Linked DNA regions of Bombyx mori. The protein of the gene in region 1 binds, or shares a complex with, the protein of each later gene. Links are inferred from orthologs where the notes say so. Each region holds a gene or a part of one and is shown in the gene's direction. Other genes may lie near its edges.

Evidence for each region. Proteins that work in one complex are often made in the same cells at the same time.
Region 2: GATOR complex protein Iml1 (region 1) and sec13-like protein share a complex: the UniProt entries of both Drosophila melanogaster proteins name them as parts of the GATOR complex. The link is inferred for Bombyx mori from reciprocal best matches to the Drosophila melanogaster genes Iml1 and Nup44A.

The regions. Positions count from the first base shown.
Region 1 is NC_085116.1:10,876,941-10,881,703, reverse strand, and holds part of GATOR complex protein Iml1, read left to right. Parts: intron 1-2,879; coding exon 2,880-3,080; intron 3,081-3,639; coding exon 3,640-3,792; intron 3,793-4,238; coding exon 4,239-4,394; intron 4,395-4,763. UniProt on the Drosophila melanogaster protein: An essential component of the GATOR subcomplex GATOR1 which functions as an inhibitor of the amino acid-sensing branch of the TORC1 signaling pathway.
Region 2 is NC_085125.1:13,430,656-13,436,140, forward strand, and holds the start of sec13-like protein, read left to right. Parts: upstream 1-2,253; 5' UTR 2,254-2,300; coding exon 2,301-2,435; intron 2,436-2,615; coding exon 2,616-2,772; intron 2,773-3,584; coding exon 3,585-3,738; intron 3,739-4,162; coding exon 4,163-4,270; intron 4,271-4,591; coding exon 4,592-4,708; intron 4,709-5,485. UniProt on the Drosophila melanogaster protein: Probable component of the nuclear pore complex (NPC). Involved in maintaining the localization of another nucleoporin Mgtor to the nuclear envelope of early meiotic female germline cells.

The DNA.
Region 1 (4,763 bases):
AACTGGTACATCATCCTTCAACACAATCTTCAGCCTGATAGGTGCATCTTTAGTCTTCAAAGGTGTGTAACTGTCAATAATTTCCCTCACCGCTGTACACTGGTCATTGCTACTAGAAGATAGACAGATAGCATTTTGATACGATATGTCATAACAAGGAGGCCTGACCTCAACCAAACCCTTGTCAATAACTGTGATAGTATTTACTAAAAATTGTTGACCCAGTATTACATCATATGGTATTCCACCTGTAGGTACAATATACAAATTAATACTATATCTGTGACTGTCAATAGTTAAATCTGTGTCGAACTTACCAATCGAATATACCTTAGAGCTTCCTAACCCAGTAAGCAACATTTTTTCTGGTATGTACTCGCATTTTAGTTTTGTAAACAAATCAAAAGTTATTAAATTTAAGTCGCTACCTGTGTCAATTAAACAATTAGTCACATAGTTACCAACTTTTACTGATTTTACACTCATGTTTATAGAATCACGTTTGTTTACATTTAATAAATTTGACGAAACAATATGATTTAGTTGTTGACAACTAAAATTTGGCATATCACTCACTTGCTCTTTTAAATCGCATTGCTCACGTTCGTATAGTTCGTTCTCGTTCTTCTCGTCGTCCTCCTGCTGTCGAACAAACATAGATCGCCGATCTTGTTCATCACCTCCTCCATAATAATTATTTGATGCTTTTTTAGCTTCCATACCTTGTGATGCGCGGCACTCCGTACCCTTGTGCCCGAACCCGTTGCACTTGAAGCATTTGATACCTCTGCGGCAGGAATTAGATAGGTGCCCTCTTTCACCACAATTGTAACATCGATGAACCTGTCTAGGCATTACCGCCGTGTCTCGCTGACCTCGTCTCATGGTATCAACACTTTTTTTGGACTTCTCTTTGAAACTTTCATATAATACTAATTTCTCCTTGAGCACAGAATACGACGTTACCCCGTAAAATAACAACTTGTTAGATTCATAGTCAGATATTCCGTCGATTATATACTGAATCGCGACGTAATCCGGAAACTTAGCTCTTTTTCCGAGTTCTTTCATTACGAGCATATATTGATAAAACGACTCATTGGGTTGTTTTTTCCGTCTGCTCATTGTCTCATGCATTTGTTTACTGTTTATCACCTCAGGGAATTCCTTCATCAAAGCCACTTTTAGTTCTTCGTAACTTCTGAAAGTTTTTTCGCTTTTTAGCCATAATTCTGCTGTTCCAGCTAAACATCGTCGCGCTATAATGAGTTTCTGCTGCTGGCTCCACCCAAATATATCGGCATTATCGTCGAGATCTTGTGTCCACTTCGCAGAAGAGTACGTGATGTCATCACCCGTGAACTTTGGCACAGCGTCCATCGTGTAAAATAAATTCTTGCTATCGTCGTTTTTGCTCTCCGCCATCGTGCAGAATCGTCGTATATCGTCGTATAAATGCGTCTTTCGTCTTTGAAAAATGTAACCGGCGGCGTGGCGTCGGCGCAGGTTAAGTATGGCGGCCGCGGCGTTGTTCACACCACGCGACAACTTCGTAAAATATGCGTAGATACGTTAAATCATTTAGACCCTGATATTCCTGAGTATCCCGGGCGAGAAATTGTAGGTGTGGGTCTAAATGAAATACTCTTTTCTAGGGTTTCACAATACTTTTTATTTAATTCTTAGAGAGCACTTTGAACACGTCTTACTCCTAATGGCGGCGTCGTGCGAGAGAGCGAACTAGAGCTACATCCGTCCCTTTCACACATCATGCGTTCAGAATCTTTCACTCGTTCAGAAATGTTTTACAATAATTAGAAATGTTAGTAATAATTAAATAATTAAATCCTACATATATATAAAACCCATTTGGTGAACTGTTAAACACCTGACAAGCATTTGTGGCAACACATGTCACTATGAATACAGTAATTTTAGTTTCAGAATAATTAAGAGCAGTGGTACACGTACAATCATTATCTTACAACCTGCATGGACGTACAAAATACATAATAATATGACATTTTCATAAATATAAACATCATATCATAAAATAACTCATAATATAAAATATAAACATAAAATATAATTCTTTTGTGTGTGTGTGTATGTTAGTGGACTGTTCCCAAACGTTTGAACGATTTTTGTGTGTATTCAAGTGGGTTCGGGAATTGCTTAGATTCAGATTCAATTCAGTATTGTAATAACTTCTTTTTGTAAATTTTTTTTCAAACCGAAGCTTATTTAAAAAAGTTGGTAATTTTCAGATATAAGACGTGTGTACAGGCCGTCTGTTGGGTTCGCTAGTATAGTAGTAATTAATATATTTAAAAAAAACTATTTATTATTTAAATGTCGCGATGATTATTTTCATTTTACACTTTGCCAGTTTTCAAAAACTGGTTTTCATCATTTTTTGATCATGGACTAATAAGGTACTAATCGTCGAAATTGAATTTTAATCAATATCGTATACATGGCTAGTTACGGTTTTTTCTTTTATCGCTCATCATCATCATCATCATCATCAACAGCCCACAGTCGTCCACTTCTGGACATAGGCCTCTCCCAATCCACACCACTGAGCCCCGTCTACGGTTCTCCATCCACTTCTTGCCGGCCACCGTTCGGAGGTCATCGCACCACCTAGCCAGGGGGCGTCCCACGTTATATATATAATACTTATACCTCGGGCAGACGCTGCAGATGGGTAAACACAGCTTGGAGAGGGAAGTCAAGAGAAGCATCCAACTGGGCTGGGCGGAGTTCGGCAAACTGCGTGGAGTCTTTTCATCGCACATCCCATAGTGCCTGAAAACGAAAGTTTTTTTATCGCTAAAGTGATTTAATTTAATAGGTCGCCGTGGATTGGTTTTCAGACAAGTCCGCAGGCTACGACGCGGGCAGTGACACAACGGACTCGCCGATGTCGACGAACCGACTCTCGCCGCGCAGTTCGATATCTTCAATCAAGCCCGTTATCAGGACGGGCAGGGCACTCATCAACCCCTTCGATCCCTCGCATGTCACTGTCAAACTGACCAGTAACCGTCGAAGGTGGACGCATATATTTCCGAAAGGTTAGTTGAAGTCCCTAATTCAATTATTGACACCTGTCAAAGTCATTTTTACCGGTGTGAGGGCGTCTTGTGAACTCGTACGCGTATGTATGAGTCAAAGTACGAGGTAGGTCAAATGTTATGCCAATACGAGTAACGCCATCTGTTAGAAGTAGCGAAAACGATTACCGAAACTACTAGTAAGTACTGTCTTTACTTTCTGGAAATTTTCTGGAAAATTTTAGGTATGTCATCTAAATTGCAAAAGCGTTGAATAGATATAAAGTTTAACAGCTAACGGAACACCAGAAATGAAGCGACAGTAGTGAATTGTGATCTTGAAGTCTACATTAAGTGCCGGCATAATTGAATGAAATTGTTATTAGTATTTTGGTGAATTATATTATGTATTTTGAACCACAGTGTGTAAAAATAATATATTGATGTTGTGCCTTTGAGGTCCGATAAGCACTTACCACCAGATGGATCGTAATCTCATTTCCCCATATATTAATAAAAAAAATTAAACTAAAACCGAACGTGATCCTCAGACCAAATATAATGCAATTAAAATTCTCAGGTCCAACTGGCGTATTGATACAGCAACATCACTACCAGGCCCGTCCCGCTGGCGAGCCGGCCCGCAACGAAGAGCATCGCTGCGAAAGTAACACACCAAAGGATAATGGTTCCTCGATATTAAACAACAACCATTCTATATATCAGGTTGACGGTGAGTGTGCGCAATGTGCGTCCGACCTAATCGCCTTCAATGAAGGGCTCGGCGAGTAAATTAACCCATAGACACAGCCCGCTAACTTTCTCGCCGGATTTTCTCAGTGGGTCGCGTTTCCGATCCGGTGGTAAATTCTGCGAAGGACTGCTCTTGCTAGGGCCAGTGTTGCAACACTTCCGGTTTGAGCCCTGAGAGCTCACCTAAACGCTAGAGTGAAGCTTATTTTTTTATTGCTTAGATGGGTGGACGAACTCACAGCCCACCTGGTGGTTACGCGCCATCCACCTTGATACATAAGTTCTAAGGTCTCAGTTTAGTTACAGAAGCTGAAATAGTCTCTCATGGCTATCAGCATAGTTAAAAAAACCGAACCTAATGGATAGATATCAGTAAACTAATCTATACCACGGTATCTAGGAATGTTTGTAACGTTTTTGTAACAGGCAACATTATGTCGCGGAAACGCATGATAAGTGCGTCAGGAACGTTAGCCGTGCTCGGCGTGTCCGGGGGGACTCCCTCCACGACCAACAATGCGTCGCTCGCGCTGCTGTGGGGGGCTACGGGCGAACAGGAGTGGACCCCCGCTCTGACGACAGGTCGGTATAAAATTTATTCAATTTTCATTTTGTGTGTTTTGCGTGATGAGATTGGCTTCATAAAAAATGCTATAACTTATCTCAAATATAATGGGTTTTTTTTAAATTGCATTTATAAAATTGTTAACGGTAAATTATAACATATTCATCAACGATATACTATTGTGACAACAGAATATATCTTCTTTTTTTTTAAATAATTGGCATTTTCATTTTAACAAACCAATCTCATCACGATTCAGTCTTCTATTAATTTTATGGGTTGGCCTATATGATCTGTTATTTAAAATAATGAAAAAAAAAAAGTATTTTTACTTTAGACAAGTTGAGTCCAGACATAGGCCAGTGCATACGAGTTCACTTGCTTAC
Region 2 (5,485 bases), on another chromosome or scaffold:
ACTGAAGATTGCGGGTAGGATGTTAGGAGCAAAACAAAAAGTAAAGTAGACATTACTTATGAAAATACCAAAAAAAAAGTAAACATTTTTTTGCCAAATTAATAGTAGGATTAACATTGAAGTTATTTCTGCTGACTGCGAATTCATTTATAAACGCTTGTAGCATCATTTTAGTAATTTTTATGTCTCCTTTTATGCCATTGAGCTGGGTAAGGGATCTGATGGTATTAAGCGTTGATCGTCGTCCATTGCACTATGAGAAAGTCGTCTAGCGGCTGTGCAGTCTTTTAGGCGACCGGAAATAGGATGGCAATACCAATGCGTCCCCACAATACATCAGTATCTACCGGTATAGGCGCGTCACTCAATACGAATAAGTTTTGTCCCTAAAAGAACTGATTTTCAGAACCATTCGAATTCATTTTAAGTTTGTTAGGACCTATTAACAGACGTTACACTGTAGCGTCTCTAAGCGATGCCTGCCACTTATTATCAGCTGAGCTGCAATCTCAATTGCCATATTTTATAAAAAATTAATGAAATGTTGTTGACTTTTCATAATCCTAGGTAGAATATTTTTAAAACTGTAAAATAATAATTGAAAGACATTTTGTTAATTTTAATATACTTATACACATATAAATAATAGTTGTGCCAAATTTAATACCGTTCGTAAAATTACGGACTTAAAAATTTCCAATATTTAAATTATTTTTTGTCTCTTTCGTTGTGTTTGTAATGTAAATTAAATAAAGTAAATTTGTAATAAATATTCCGGCATCAATACCTAATAGTATAGGGTCCTTAGGAACGGATTCTTTGTAAGTAATTTAAAAATAATAAACATAACATATTTTCAACTCCTCTTTTTATTTAACAAATGTTAAATATTATCATTGAACACTTAAAGTGTGTAGTAAATTAAAAAAAAATACGTAATTGTCTATTTGACAAATTGGTCAAGTTATTGGAGATCTGTTTAATGAAAATTATCACACTCATAATTAGTTAATCATATACAAATTTTGCATCTATCTAAATTGTTCTGTTTTCGTGTTTATTTTGACAATAATGTTAATAATTGATGTATTTTTGTGTATGAATTTGTTATATTTATAAATAATATTAGCTTCCTTGTTAATCTATGTAATTAAATTAGCTAGTACACTACTAATTTTATTAAATGCCTATAATTTTTAATTGTTTTTTTTTTCAAAGTATATCATGAGCCTTTTCACACATCTATAGATCTTAGTGTAGGAATGGTAGGTAATAAATACGACATCGATGTTGGGAGAAAAACATGGTAAGGCGGGTACTAACGTCTAACGAAAGACCACTGTTATTTACAGCATTGGTCTTCCGTCGTGTGGGGTACGAACTGCTTGAATTGCTTCCCTTTTATAAATTATATATTATAAATTATTATTATCTATGCTGTTTTCATTCATGGACTGAGGCTCTTTAACAAGTTTTCCCAAGTTACCACAAGTTTCTCCCATTTAATCTACATGGGTGCCACTCCGGGAAGGACCGCTTAATTGCTGGGGATGAGATTAAATCCTTTATCGATATCCTGTAAAACAATTGTGGTGACCTAAAGAATAAGATGGACAGACAGACACAAATGAACGAGTTTTTGGCGGAAACGCCAGGACCGAAGTTGTGTGTATTGTTTTTTATTTAATTTAGTGTTTCTTCAGGCTTAAAGGCTTCGTCAAACAGAAAGCGTAATTAGTGCGCGTCAGAGCGCTACGCTATGACGCCGAGATGTGTTGTACTACTATACTATGAGCGCTATAGCGCTGGCGCTCTGTTTGACGGTATAATACCGTAGTAGTACAATACATCTCGGCGTCATAGCGCGGCGTTAGTTTAGCGCTCTGACGCGCGCTAAGTACGCGTTCTGTTTGACGAAGGCTTAAACGTGTAGTAATGGTGCTTTAATTACTGTTTTGCATCCGTAAAAGCGCATGTGGGAAAATGAAACAGTCGCTTGACATGGCTTTTCGGACTCTTCCAAAAAGTCCACTAAAGTCTCTTTAAATAACTGTCATTTTACTGTGACTTTATTTCATCCCATCTCACCTCATTTTATTTAATTTCATCCATATAATCTTTCCCTTTACGTTGTTTTTCATTTAACAGAATATAAAAAAAAATTGTCTGTATGAAGTGATACTTTCGCCTTTCATATTGAAAAATGGAATTATTACTGTCATTAATGTCATTTTCTGTTAATTTGAGGTTATAAATTGGGATTAATGTAACGGAAAAAACACTGTTAGTTCATAATAACAATGAGTGAAAACATAGCTACGAACCTTTTCGAGGCCCAAACGATACATGCCGATCACAAAGACCTTATTCACGATGTCGCGTACGACTTCTACGGGGAGAGAATGGCCACTTGTTCCAGTGATCAATACGTAAAGGTACATTCTTTATATTATTTTTAATTAGAGTACGTACCTTTGTTTTACGTACGTATAGTTGTAAAACGTGGTAAAATGAAATTTTTTTAGTCTTCTGGTAATTCACGAAAGCTTTGTTGCTTCGTAGTAATAAGCAATCGTGAAAGTTAATAATTTGGAATATGTTATTTTTTATCTTAGATATGGGACACAGACGGGCATGGAGGCTGGCGGATGACAGCGAGCTGGAAGGCTCATCACGGCTCTGTTTGGAAAGTTACATGGGCCCACCCAGAGTTTGGACAGGTCATTGCGACTTGCTCCTTTGATAGAACAGCTGCTATTTGGGAGGAAGTGGGTATGTGGAACCATTTGTTCATACCATTTAGCATTAAATTTATTACTTTTTCTAGATGAGTTGTTTTATAATATATTTTATGTATAATTAGCTGACCTGGCAGACTTCGTAGTGCCTCAATCAATAAATAAACTAAACTTTTGTATAAAATAAACCTAAAACAAAAAAAGGAATCCTTCCGGCGGGGGACATATTAAAGGAAAACAAAATTGTTATTTTTATTTAATTCTGAGCATTTTTATATTTAGCTACCTTTTAAACTTTCTCTGGACCTCTACAAATAATACAATACCAAAATTAGCCAAATCGGTCCAACCATTCTCGAGTTTTAGCGAGACGAACGAACAGCAATTCATTTTTATATATATAGATTATAGTATATTCTTGTAAGTTTTAGCCACAATTTACCCATTTTTTGCAGAATGTAAGGTGTAGGGTGCCTGCTTTTCATAGTTTTGCATCATGGTACATTCAATGTACTTCTGAAAGCTTTCATTAGTTTTTTGTGTTTGGGTAGACAGACTGAGATCTTAGATCCCATATCACTTAACATGAGGTGGGCTGTGAGCTCGTCCACCCACCTAAGCAATAAAAAAATTACATTCTAGGAAACCTAGCTTGGAAGTTGCAAAATAATATAAATTTTAACAGACATAAAGTGTGAAAAACTGTGACCAAAGAATGGCCTATTTAGTCATCACTAGCACCATCACTAGTCATGCAGAGATATACACAAGCCAAGTGCAGAATAGTAGGAGTATATAGTTCAAAATGATTGGTTCAAATAAATATGTATTCAATATTGTATTCAGGTGACACCACAGCAACAGGCTCTGAAAAGAGTTTACGTACATGGCTGAAGCGGTCAAACCTCGTTGATTCAAGAACTTCAGTAACAGATGTTAAATTTGGACCTAAACATTTAGGTCTACTACTAGTTACATGCTCAGCTGATGGCATTATAAGGTATTATGTTGATCCATAACACTACACATCAGTAAAACCTCCTGGTACTACTTATTTCAAGCATAAACTGATAGCTACTACCACCCTGCCTATTTCTGCAATGAAACAGTCTCGTTTTCTAATTTGTAGGCTGTTTTACTAGATGGTTAAGAATTTGGGTCTAAATGTGAGTGATGATTTATGTAACAATATTGGCAGCTACTAATGTAATCTAAGCTGTAAGCATTACCTGGTTTTCTACATTTTCAACAATTAAATTCAGCTAATTACCATTTTTCATTTGAATTAATTCTGTGTCGTTCTAGATAAATAGTTGACCTCAGAATCCACATAAGGCTATGTTGTTACTGGTATAGCAATACTGCTCTTCATCTTCTCACTTTAATCTGTTTGAAGCGAAAACAACATTCTGTTTGATTTACAGAATATATGAGGCTCCGGATGTGATGAATTTGGCACAATGGACCCTCCAGCACGAGATACCGACGAAAGTTTCAATTAGTTGTTTATCATGGAACCCTTCATTGTCTAGGTAGGTATGTATTTTTATTATAATTGGATGTAGCAAATAGCCCATCTGATCGTAACTGGATATAGTCACTTATGGACAACAAGTAGTCAACAACAACAGTCAACAACAACAACAACAATAATAACGTGTAGTCAACAAAGAGCTCTTTTAAGTCCCCAGATACTCATAAAACAGCAGGGAATTTAGTTTAGAGGTTGAAAGTGAGAGTAAGAGAGAGTTTTTGGGAGCAAATTGTGTTTTTACTGTGTAAAATAAAACTGTTCTGTTGGCTTGTATTAGTGACTTTTTTATAATATCTTCAATATTGCATTTTTTTTCTAGGGTAGGAAACCCACCAATGTTGGCAGTAGGCAGCGATGAACCTAACACAACAAATGCCTTAGCATCAGTACCATCTGATAAGAGCACAGCTTGTAATGGAAAAGTTTTTATTTATGAGTAAGTATTAATTTATATGTTGTAATCCATGTATTAAATATACACTTTTACTTTTATATGTAAATATCTAAAATACTTATTACTTGAAATAATGATAATTCTAGACAGTGACTTGGATGTGCCCCTGCCATTGACAATGTCTACTGTTAGCAGTGATTTAAAACTATCAGTTTTTGTATTGTATTTGTAGTGAATGTAAACATTTGGCTTCATTCATTTACTTGATAGATTTGCAAATTTTTATAGTTGTCTATAGCCCAGGGAAGATTTTTGTCATAGTTTGGAGAGTATACGACAAAAGGAAGATATTCAACCGAGCGGGTGACAGACAGTCCGAATGTTGATGTTCAGAACTTGTATATATGCAAGTTCCATTCCCGATCCTGCGGACAGAATGGAAAGCAGTCGACGTCGCCCCAAACACGTCATTTCGGATCCTCCCGATCCACTAACGGTGCTTTTAGGTACCTCAAGCACCGGTCATTGTTCTCGTCGAACCCGTCGCTTGCGACGAAGGGCTCGACGAGTAAATTAACCCTCAGACACAGCCCACTGAGTTTCTCGCCGGATCTTCTCAGTGGGTCGCGTTTCCGATCCGGTGGTAGATTCTGCGAAGCACGGCTCTTGCTAGGGTTCGTGTTAGCAACGTCATCAGGTTTCAGCCCCGTGAGCTCACCTACTAGTTAAGGCGAAGCTGATATAGCCTCTCAAGGCTATCAGATTAGGTGGGAAAAAATAAATAAATATGCAGGCTTATCTTGAAAATGTCGTAAGCCA